Caenorhabditis elegans: one gene and its partners. The protein of the gene in region 2 purifies or fractionates together with the protein of the main gene of each other region. This does not show direct contact. Each region holds a gene or a part of one and is shown on either strand. Other genes may lie near its edges. The genes, in order: pinn-1, C29F5.1 and acox-1.6.

Region 1 (3,755 bases), 3.4 Mb from region 2:
AGGCTTTTTTTCAGCTATAAAATCGAAGGAAAATTGTATTTTTGAAGCTTTTTCACACAAAAATTTCAGGAAAAACGACATTTTTCAACAAAATTTGAACTTTTCAGGGCAAAAATTTGCGTTTTTTCGGTACTTTTCCTCCGCCCGGCGGTTACAGTACCCCAAGATCTCCGCCACGTTTTGCCGAACTGCAATCGCTGAATTGTTTGGCGAGTTCACGGAATTTTCCCTCAATGTTCGACGCATCTTTCAGCTCCTTTTCGTAATCTGAATGAAAAAATATTGATTTTTAGACCAAAAATTCCGATTTTTTAGCTTAAAAATCATTGAAAAATTGGAAAATTCGGCGAAAATATACTTTTTCTGTCGAAAAATCGAAAAATAGAGCTATTTTTCGATTTTTTTTTTAGTAAAAAACCTGCAAAATGCAGTTTTTAGCCGATTTTAGACACAAAAATGAAGAAAAATCGATGATGAAATCCAATTTTTCGGCTAAATGTGAGAAAATCCGCAATTTTCAGCAAAAACCCGGGGAAAATCGATTTTTAGCGCTGAAAATTGAATTTCCGCGCGAATTTTTAGGTTTTTACTGTGAAAATGGGTGATTTAGAGCTTTTTTGGCCATTTTTCCGCGAAAATGCCAGATTTTAGGCTGAAAATTAAGAAAACGTCGATAAAAATCATTTTTTCTGGAATTTTTGCGGCTAAAATTCAGGAAATTGGCAATTTTCGGCTCATTACTCTGAAAAATCAAAATGTTTCTCGGTTTTTCAAGTGATTTTTAAGGAAAAAATGCGAAAAACCGCAAATTTCCCGAAATTCTCGTTTTTTTTATACAATTTTTAGTCAAAAATTTCATTTTTTTAAAGCAAAAAACGGCAATTTTAGTGCTTTTTTCGGACAAAAACGGTGAAAAACTGACTGAAATGCCGATTTTAGGCTGAAAAATGAAGAAAAATCGATTAAAAACCCATTTTTCCGGGTAAAATTAGAGAAAATCGCATTTTTTTGGGATTTTTGAGAACCAATTTTTCATAATAAAAAACAATTTTTAGTGCTGAAAATCCGCATTTTGGGGGTTTAAAATGTGAAAAATCCGGATTTTTCCGAGAAAAATTTAGTATTTGAGCTAAACAGCCGAAAAACTTGCCATTTTCATGAAAATTTCACTAATTTTCCGCTAAAAATCAGAAAATTGGCAATTTTCGGGTTAAAACTCTAAAAAATCGTAATTTTTCGGGGTTTCAACGCGATTTTTCAATTAAAAATCGGTTTTTTGCGCGGAAAATTGGTCAAAAATCAGAGAATTTGCTTTTTTAAGAAATTTTCTCGAGAAAAATCGAAAATTTCGGCTAAAAATTAAATTTCCGCACGGTTTTTCAGGTTTTTAATATAAAAAATTGGCGAAAATCCGGTTTTTTTGGCATTTTTTACAGGAAAAACACGTTTTTCGAGCTAAAAAATCCGATTTTTCACGAAAATTCCGCAAATCCGCACTTTTGAGGATGTTAATCGCGTCATCCTTGGATCTTGTGATGTGATCGGACCGCCAAGACGATGGATTACGGCTTCCATCGTGTTTTACGAGCAAATGAAGGCATTGGACGGATTTTAGCTCGCTTCCCTGGAAAAATATCGATTTTTGCGGGGTTTTTGGGTGAAAAAACGCGAAAAATCACGAATTTTGAGTGATTTTGAGCGAAAAATCAGCTAAAAATTGCCATTTTCTCACTTTTCCAAACGCCGACTCGTCTGGGCGCTCCCATTGGCTGCGGCCGGTGGCCGTGTTGAAGTAGTAGACGCGATCTGGAAAAATTATCGATTTTTTTCGCAGAATTTCGCGAATTTCCAACCATTCGAGCGGCTCTGACGCTTTTCCCATCCGGCTGGCAGCGAATTATCGGACATCTGTGAGAATGTATGGGTTTTTCTGGGGATTTTGCGTAAAAATAGGTATTTCTGGGAAAAATCAACGATTTTTCGGGGGGAAAAATGAATAAAATCGGTTTAAATGTGGAAAAATGCAATATTTATACGAGAAAGACAATTATTATGCGCGGAAAAACCGTAGAAATCTGGAAAATTGGCCCGTATTCAGTAAAAAATGCGATAAAATGCAATAAATTATGGAATATTCGATCCGTTGACTCTTGTACAACATTCGCTGGGTGCTTTCGAGAAATCGTACACGTAGGATGGATGTTTTCTGCAAGAAATTGGTTAAAAATTGGTGAAAAATGATGGAAATTGATTAACGCGGCCGAGAAATCGATTTTAGGCAAGCGCGCTCTATGGAGAATCGGTCGTCGCGGCCACGGAGTCCTCTCGGAGAAGAGGTGAATTAATAATTTCGCGAATTTCGCATAATTTTGGCGATTAAAAGGGGTTTTTGCAGGTTATTTCCGGTTTTTCGATGGGAAAATTGATGAAAATTGCATTTTAAATACGAATCCAGCAAAAAACAAGCGAAAATTCGATTTTTTCGCTGTTTTTTCCCGAGAAACTTCGAAAATGGCTTAATGTTTCGCCGACTTTCTAAAAAATCGGCCTATAAATGCGAATTTTGCAATTTTTCGAGTGATTTGGCGCAATTTTCGCACGAAAAATCAGTTTTTTGGTCGAAAAATGGAAAAATTGGCAAAAAATTGGAATTTTTCGGGGTTTTGTACAAGAATGTCGAAAATTGGACGATTTTCGGTAAAAATCGACCATTTTTATCCGATTTTTCCAATTTTCCGGCCGATTTTAACACAAAAATCTGGTTTTTTTGCGGAAAAACCCAGAAAATGGCCAAAAATGGGTAAAAATTGCGAATTTTCTAATTTGTCCAGCAGATTTTGGCAATTTTTAGGCAAAAATCTGAGAAAATAGCTTTAAAAAATTGGTGAAACTTGTGAATTTTCTAATTATCCGAGCGATTTGGCAGTTTTAGGCTAAATTTCGGTTTTTTGGGCTGAAAATTGGTGAAAATTGCGATTTGTCCAATTTTCCGGGAGATTTTGACGATTTTTTTACTAAAAAAACCCAAAAAATTAGCGAATCCGGGGCAATTTTTTCGCATTTTTCACAAAATCGGCTTAAAAATTTCCGAAAAAAAAGGCGATTTTTCTAATTTTTCGAGCGATTTCATGGGTTTTTTTTGGTGGAAAAATCCAAAATTTGGCGTAAAAATTTTGTCAAAAAATTCAGTTTTTCGAAAAATGGACCATTTTTTCCGATTTTTCTTAGGAAAAAGTGAATTTTCCAATTTTCCGGGCGATTTTGACGATTTTTAAACCAAAAATTCAATTTTTTTTTGTTTTTAAATTCAAAAAATCCAAAATTTTAAGGCTAAATCCTTTAATGTTAAGGCCAAAATTTTGATTTTTAGGCCAAAAAATCAAAATTATTTTTAAAAAATCTTAAAATTTTTTTTTTAATTTTAAAAATCCAAAATTTCCAAATTTTTGGCCAATTTTCCGCAAAAAACCGATTTTTAATTGAAAAATCGCGTTGAAACCCCGAAAAATTACGATTTTTTAGAGTTTTAACCCGAAAATTGCCAATTTTCTGATTTTTAGCGGAAAATTAGTGAAATTTTCATGAAAATGGCAAGTTTTTCGGCTGTTTAGCTCAAATACTAAATTTTTCTCGGAAAAATCCGGATTTTTCACATTTTAAACCCCCAAAATGCGGATTTTCAGCACTAAAAATTGTTTTTTATTATGAAAAATTGGTTCTCAAAAATCCCAAAAAAATGCGATTTTCTCTAATTT
Region 2 (3,755 bases):
TAGATTTTTATAGTAATGAAGTTTGAATTAAGAAGTTCTCTTTTGTTAAAGTTAAGAATTCACACAATGATCTACCTTATCAAGCGCGAGAAACAATTTGGCAGTATTGAGCTAACATTTCTCAAAAAATAACGGATTTTTAGAGAGATTAAAAATAGAGGATTTTTCAAACTGGAGGCCCGGATCTGGACAATTTTATTTAATTTAATTTAATTTATTACGATAGAAGATATCGTGAGGTAGGAAAAAAAACACACATTAATAGATACAAACCATCACAAGTGGTTACATAAATAAATTACATAAATAAAACGAAACAAAAATAAAAAAAGAGATGAGAAGAAAATAATGGCTACATTGGAGAAGAAGCAAAAAACACAAATATCGATGTATAAAAGGCAAGAATAAATGATGAATAGAAGTGAGGATAAGGTAACATTAGATCAGTGTTGCTTCATTGTGGGTAGTGTTCTGTTGACAAAAAAGTGTCTCCTAAGTTTAGATTTTCCTGTGCTCCAGATATATTTCTTTTTAGAACGAGTGTGGGTCTCTTGTTGCTCAAAAAACTCAGATGTTTTTAAGTCTACTTTACCAGTATTCATTCTGATTACTTGGATTCTGTCAATTATTTTACGTCTCGTGCTTAAGGTTTGGAGGTCGAATAGTTCGTTACGTTCCATGGCAGTTTTGTAATCTTTATCAGTTGGATTAATATATCTTTTTTTGATTCTACTATAAAGGCGCCTAGAAAATGCGTTTTGTACAGACTCTATTGCTTTCTCATCCGATTTTTTTGTCGGAGAAGACACTACTGTTCCATATTCTAAACGAGGGCGGATGAAAGTTTTGTATAAGAGAATCATTAGTTTCTTATTGGAGGTACTGTACTGGTTGAACATGTTGGCCAGTTGAAATTTAGCTAGATTGATACATTTCTTCCAATGCTCAGAGAAATCCAGCTTTTCAGAGAATAAAAATCCAAGGTCTCTGGTAATAGCTTTTCGTTCAATAGGGTAACCGTCTAGGTGGTATTTGAAATCTATTCTACGTTTTTCTACAGTGACGTGAACTGTCTTTGATTGGTTTAGAGTGAGTTTTGATCCCCTTGTCCAATCTACTACAGCATCTAGAGCAGACTGTAAATTGTTTTCGCTTTCAGTCTTAGGGGTCGATACATACAATTTCGTGTCATCTGCAAACTGTTTACATGCTACTTTTTCGGGTAATATTGATGATATATCATTAACATAGATACCAAACAAAAGTGGTGACAGAACTGCGCCTTGTGGGACGCCACAAGTGGCCAATTTTCTGGATGACAGCGTTTGCCCAATTCTAACCCTAAAGCTTCTATTTGATCCTTTGTTGGCACAATCTTCTGGAAATTGATACTCCTCGATATCCAATTGATCACAAACATCGATATTCTTCAGAGTCTCTTTTTTAAATATCCAATCAACATTATTTAGCATATTTTGAAGGGAATTAACAGTCTACAGAAATTTATATTTATTCATCCTTTGTGAACAGTATGGAAGCGTTTTGAATAAAAAAGTTCCCAAGTTTTTGTTTAATGTTGCTCGAATTTTTATTTGCTAATCTTTTTGAGGTTTGAAATCTAACTGGTTGGGAAATCGTTCTGTCTAAAATTTATCATTATGAGCTTTCAAATAAAATATTTGTCATTCTACAGCCTCGTGATACAGATTTCTGTCTTTAGAAAATTATAAATTAAGCGAACGCTGAAATACTTATTCTCAACATTTTAAATTATTCGTTATCACAAAAACGTAGCCCAATGCTCCCACTCCAGGTGATGGTCAATCGATGTGTGCGTGTGTCCTCCAAATCTATACGAAATCTTTTCATTGTCTTTATTTTCTCCGAGATATTGGGATCCCGTCATCATCATCGGTGTTTCGAAACTTTGTCGATGAGATTGGACGGGAGCTCCTGCTCCCCCGCATTGTAATCTTATCTGAGTCTCTGTCTTCATAGACTATTTTTTGTTCCCGAACACCCCCTCATGTGCTCTCTCTCTCTCTTTCGTAGGGATCCGTTGTGCTGAAGAATGGCCTCTCTTTAAAACACAACACGTCGCTGGACAGATCGCCGTATAGCCGCTGTTCGATATGTCTGCCGACGGATTCTGGTTGTTTGAAGGTCTTGAAGAAGAACCATACGGTCTTCTTCCATTAAACAATTTATCTGGAAAGGTGAGTAGTTATTAAATATCGATGTAGGACTTTTTTTTTGGTTGGAGAATGTTTTTCTAGCTATTGTATTTCTTTACTTATTAATGAATTTCACAATTGAGAAGATGCCGAGCATTCACTTATGACCAACCAACATGGTAAAACTTCTTGATATTTTATTGTATTAGTTTAAAAGTTGTCTTCTAGATTTTTTGCTACAAAAATTAGAATTTTTAAGTTTCCTAGCTTAAAATTTTAAATGTCTTATGAAAATATTATAATTAGAAATATATGGAAGTTTTTTAAAAATATATGGAAATTTTTTTGTTGTATAAAGATCCATTAAAAATTAAATGATTTGCTGAAGATTTTGTGGAAAAAATGTATGAAAGTAAATGTGAGATTACAGTAAACGTGAGAGCGAATCATCTACTGTTTTCGTTAATAAAAATCAATTTTACAGGGAGGACCAACAAGTACAAAATATGTAGACCGTATTGGATCGTATCAATGGTATCTCAATGATGAGACAGCAACTATTCTTGTTCCAGGAGCACCTGTTGAATCATTCTATTGGCCAGGTGGCAAGTTGATGCAAGATCATGGAGTGATTATTTATGACGTCAATCATTTGAAAGTGAGTTCATAAGTTGTTGACTGAAACACGAGTTGAAGCACGAGAAGCGTGTAGATTTTTTTATTTGGAAAACAAAAATCAATCCATTTTTACAAGCAATGTGCTGATTTGGAAATCAATATAATTACAGGTACGGGAAGGATCTTTGGATGCCATCATTATTGCGGCACGTTTGCTCAGTGAGAAAAAGAAGAAACCAATCGATTTCTCTCAATTCCATTTTATCACGGATGCTATCAATTTGCAAAAGATTTTTGCATTCTGTAATGAAGCCGGAGAAGGATTGTTCCGAATCGATTGTGAACGCGTTGGAAAGACTGTTCTGCTCACTAGGTAAAAATAAATAGGTAGTATATATACCTATGTATAGGTAATAAATAAAAATAAGGTACCGTATATCCTCTATTAGTTTTGCACCCCTTGGCTCAACTTTGGCAGCTCATATCTCAGTAGTCGTTTGTTCTATAGAAAAGTTGTCAACTGATAAAATATTTGTTAGGTGGTTTTCTATAGTATGTAGTTTGTTAATTATTTATATGTTCAAAACAAAATGAGATATGAGCTGTCAAAGTTGAGCAAAGGGGTGCAAAACTAATAGAGGATATACGGTAGGCATGCAAACTGAAAACGAGAAAATTTAGTTTTATCTGTTTATTAAAAACTTTTTTGTTTTTAAAAAGTTTTTATAGTTTTCGTGATGCTTAGTAACTGGATTTTTCAAAATTCAGAAAAGTTTAGAACTTGAAATAAATTCTTGAAAAATTCGCACCAAAAAGTGAACATCTGCCTTGTCAGCCCTTCTCAAAGCAAAACTTCTAAACTTTTCGGTATTCTTATTTACTCAAAACAAACCAATAATTGTATTTCAGAATGGAAGCTTCTGATTTAATGGAAATCGGACATGTAACTTTTGATCAAAATCT
Region 3 (3,755 bases), on a different chromosome or scaffold from region 2:
ATGTAAGTTCCATCTGGATTCACTTTTGCGTATCTCATCAGCAATGCTTTTCTTGGAATTCTGACTTTATCGAAAAGTAAGAATCCATTGTCATTTCCATTGATGCCAAGTTTTGGTCCAATATCTCCCAAACGAATTCCCTTGAGTGGATAGTGAGTGTCTTCATCGCGAAGTTGCACAATGAACGGATGAGGTCCTTTACACTCTCCTTTTGTGTACAACTGTGCAACAACCACAGCGTAGTTCGACGATTTACCCAAGCCTCCCGGCCACCATCTTAATTAAGACCATCACATTTCTTATCACATTTTGAATACTTACTTGGCTGCAGTGATTGTTGGCGAGTTCATAACAAACTCTTCTGTGGCTGGATCATAAGTTGCAGTGGTTTCCAGTTTTGAAAGGTTTGTACCATGACCGAGTTCTGTTTGAGCATAAGTTCCAACTACTGCACGGGAAATTGCTTTGGTAAGCCACTCGTCCAGTTGATCATCGTCAGTTTGACCTGAGAAAGTTTTATTTGATAAATTTGGATTTTAACGTGGATTTCTGATTTACATCATAAATGCAAGTAGGGGTCTTTATAGCGATGCGCGGAACCCAAAAAGTGTCGGACGCGGAGCCAAGTCTCCACCAAATGGTGACATACCCTATCGCACTATTTTGTGAAAACGTGGCTCCGCGTCCGACACTTTTTAGGTTCCGCGCACCGCTATAAAAATTTTGGAGCGCACCGTGAGAGAGTTGTTTTCGGGGTCGACATGGGAGCCCCGTGCAAGTGTTAAATTGAATATGAACTATTAAAGGTGGAGTAGCGCCACTGGGGATTTTGCCAAATTACACCTATTTGGCAAGTTGCCAAAATTTTGAAACATATGAGTTTTTGAGGAATTTCAAAGCAATGTCGCATGTCCCGACCCCTACAACGTTTTAATACTAATAGTTAAAACAAAATTACAGTATAAAAAATGAAGAAAAAAACTTTTTTTTTTGGTCGACTTCCAAAATTATGAGTGGCAGAAACTGAGTAATTGTCACTTTTTGACATTAAATAAAAAATTGTCAAAAAAGTTTTGTAAGAGTTTTATTATTATATTTGGTCATTTTGAGACAATTGGAGTGGTTTTTAAGATTTCCCCCACTGGTGCTACTCCACCTTTAAGATTTTTTTTTCACTACAGTTGCATTTGAAATGTAAAGTTTGATCAAAAGTTTTAAGATTTAAAACTACTCAAGATCAAAAGCTGCAACTGCCAATAATGCGTGATTTTTTGAGTTAATTGAATTTAACTTTGAACATTTTTCAAAAGTCTCTTTTTGAAAATTTTATATTGGAACAACTTCTAATGTTCCGAAGAAAACATTTTCAGGTTTCTACTTCTCTAAAAATAGTACCTTGAAGTGTTGGAATAAACATAACGTAATGAAGCGACATTGCATGAAGATCACGGCCCATCGTCAATCTTAAATTATTTTCAGTTAATATGTTTTTACCAAATTCCCAAAAAAAAACTGACGCTTGATAATACATTCCTTCTCCGAAGAAGTCAGATCCATCAATCTGATCGGTGTTATTTGTCATTGCCACAACTTTACGAGCATTGTTCAGAATGCGTTCTTCGCGAGACATAAACTCTGTTGGAACCGGATCTTTGAAGTCGTCAACGCTTTTGACAAAATCCAGAATTTCACGGCGACGCTGAACATTAAGAATTTTTTTCCAAATAACTAACTGTTTTTGGAAGCTCCGTTATTTATTTTGGCATAATTTTTGAATTAAGATTGGAAAATCATCCATAAAAGTTAATAATATAAATTTTCGAATTAATATTTACCTTTTTCTAGCAAATGCAGACTAAAGCTTACCTTCATAACTTCAGTCCCTCCATGTATCCAAGCTGACATACGTTCTGTGTCAAACGTAGCTTTTTTCCGTTCATTGGTAATGTCTACATTATCGCCTGGCTGAATCCATCGACTCATTTCAAAAATTTCAGTGAGTTCCTAAAAAGAGGTAAGTTGATAGAAATACATATGTACAAAATTTTTTCTTTGAAAAATTAGAAGAAAAAAAAAACAACAAAAAAATCAAAGTTTTTTAGCAGAGCAACACAACTTGCTTAAAAAGTACTAATAAATAGACTGGCTACATGGGACACTACGTGCTAACAACGGGAAAAATGATAACAAGGAACTTTATTGATAACGTTGGTTTAAAACTATACTACGGTTCCAATATAATAGAAACACTTTTGAAGAAATTGCTTCAAACTGTAGTATACTTTGATTAAATAGACTGTCTTTAAAAAAAAAACTTTTTATATGACTTATAGGAAAATCTATAAAAAACAGAGATACACGAAAATAGAAAAAAACACGTAAGAAAAAACGTGCAAATAAGTGTTTATGAAATGAACGCAACGACAACAGTGTAGTCGTTAGGCATTCCTGTTATCTCGGAGAGTCAATTGAAAACATGGAGACGTAGACGCGAAGACTGATTAAACTGGATTAATTTGTTTATAAGAATATTGATTATACAAAAAAGGGAGAGAGTTTTGATAATTTCTTAAAAATACGCTTGGTGCAAAAAATTGACAAAAATAACCGCACAATTGATTATGAGATTAAAGGTGGAGTAGCGCCAGTGGGGAAAATGCTTTAAAACATGCCTATGGTGCCACAATGACCAAACCTCATAGTAAAAATTTTTTAAAAAAATTTCTAAATTTTATATGATTTTTTGAAAATTGAAAAAATCTCGAATTGCATCAAATTCCTAATTGAATTACCGCCAATAGTTCGATGTTTGATGGTGCGCGCTTGCATTATTTTAACTTTTATTTATCAATTTTTCTTAGTTTTGATTGATTTTTCATGTTTTTTGTGTAATTTTACTAGAAATTTAATGAAAAATTCAAGATAAATGTAGATTGTTCACTAAAAATAATTGAAAAAAAAAGAAATAACGTTTTCCAACGACGTTGAGCCTGAAATATTCTATTTCACAGATTTAGGCTTCAGCGCCCGCTTTTTAATAACAAATTTACATTTCTCTTGAATTTTCCATTAAATTTCCAGTAAAATTACTCAAAAAAAAACATGAAAAATCAATCAAAAATAAAAAAAATTGATAAATAAAAGTTAGAATAATACAAACGCGCTCCATCGAACATCGAATTATTGGCGGTAATTCAAATAGGAAGTTGATGCAATTCGAGATTTTTTCAATGTTCAAAAAATCATATGAAATTTAGAAATTTTTTTACAATGATATTTGGTCATTGTGGTACCATATACATGTCTTAAAGCATTTTCCCCACTGGCGCTACTCCAACTTTAAATTTATCGGTTTCATTTTTTCTTTGGAACAAAATTTCCTGGTCGCATATTTAACTGGGTAAGTTGAGATTGAGCTATGTAGTTTGACAAAAAAAAAACAGATTTGAATAGATAGTTTCTGATAAAAAAATTTGTGAGTGCAAGATAAACACCGCATCTTGAAAGTTAAATAAAAACATGATACAAAATGTTCTTCCGTTCTTGAGAATTATTCCCCCACACTTGTAAAATTTAAGTTTTTAGATATCAAACATGGCATTTATTTGGGATTTTTGTTTTCGGAATCCATTTTTTCTATATTATATTTTCTCGTTTTGAATAAATGGAAACTGAAACAATTAATAATTCAATTGAAACGTGGTTTCTTAACACAAATGTATTTGTTTGTTCAATCAGGAATTTAACAAGGAGTC

The links.
Region 1: the proteins of C29F5.1 (region 2) and pinn-1 fractionate together in Caenorhabditis elegans (co-fractionation; one large-scale study listed by BioGRID). This does not show direct contact.
Region 3: the proteins of C29F5.1 (region 2) and acox-1.6 fractionate together in Caenorhabditis elegans (co-fractionation; one large-scale study listed by BioGRID). This does not show direct contact.

What each region holds. Positions count from the first base shown.
Region 1 is NC_003280.10:2,887,098-2,890,852, forward strand, and holds the start of pinn-1 (Peptidyl-prolyl cis-trans isomerase), read right to left. Parts: upstream 1,911-3,755; 5' UTR 1,909-1,910; coding exon 1,854-1,908; intron 1,807-1,853; coding exon 1,733-1,806; intron 1,625-1,732; coding exon 1,498-1,624; intron 268-1,497; coding exon 161-267; intron 1-160. Other genes in the region: Beta-1,3-galactosyltransferase sqv-2, read right to left, coding at 2,125-2,206.
Region 2 is NC_003280.10:6,301,423-6,305,177, forward strand, and holds the start of C29F5.1 (START domain-containing protein), read left to right. Parts: upstream 1-2,102; 5' UTR 2,103-2,132; coding exon 2,133-2,216; intron 2,217-2,658; coding exon 2,659-2,832; intron 2,833-2,962; coding exon 2,963-3,165; intron 3,166-3,701; coding exon 3,702-3,755.
Region 3 is NC_003284.9:15,836,543-15,840,297, forward strand, and holds the start of acox-1.6 (Acyl-coenzyme A oxidase), read right to left. Parts: upstream 2,005-3,755; 5' UTR 1,984-2,004; coding exon 1,867-1,983; intron 1,700-1,866; coding exon 1,518-1,699; intron 1,464-1,517; coding exon 1,396-1,463; intron 506-1,395; coding exon 322-505; intron 277-321; coding exon 1-276.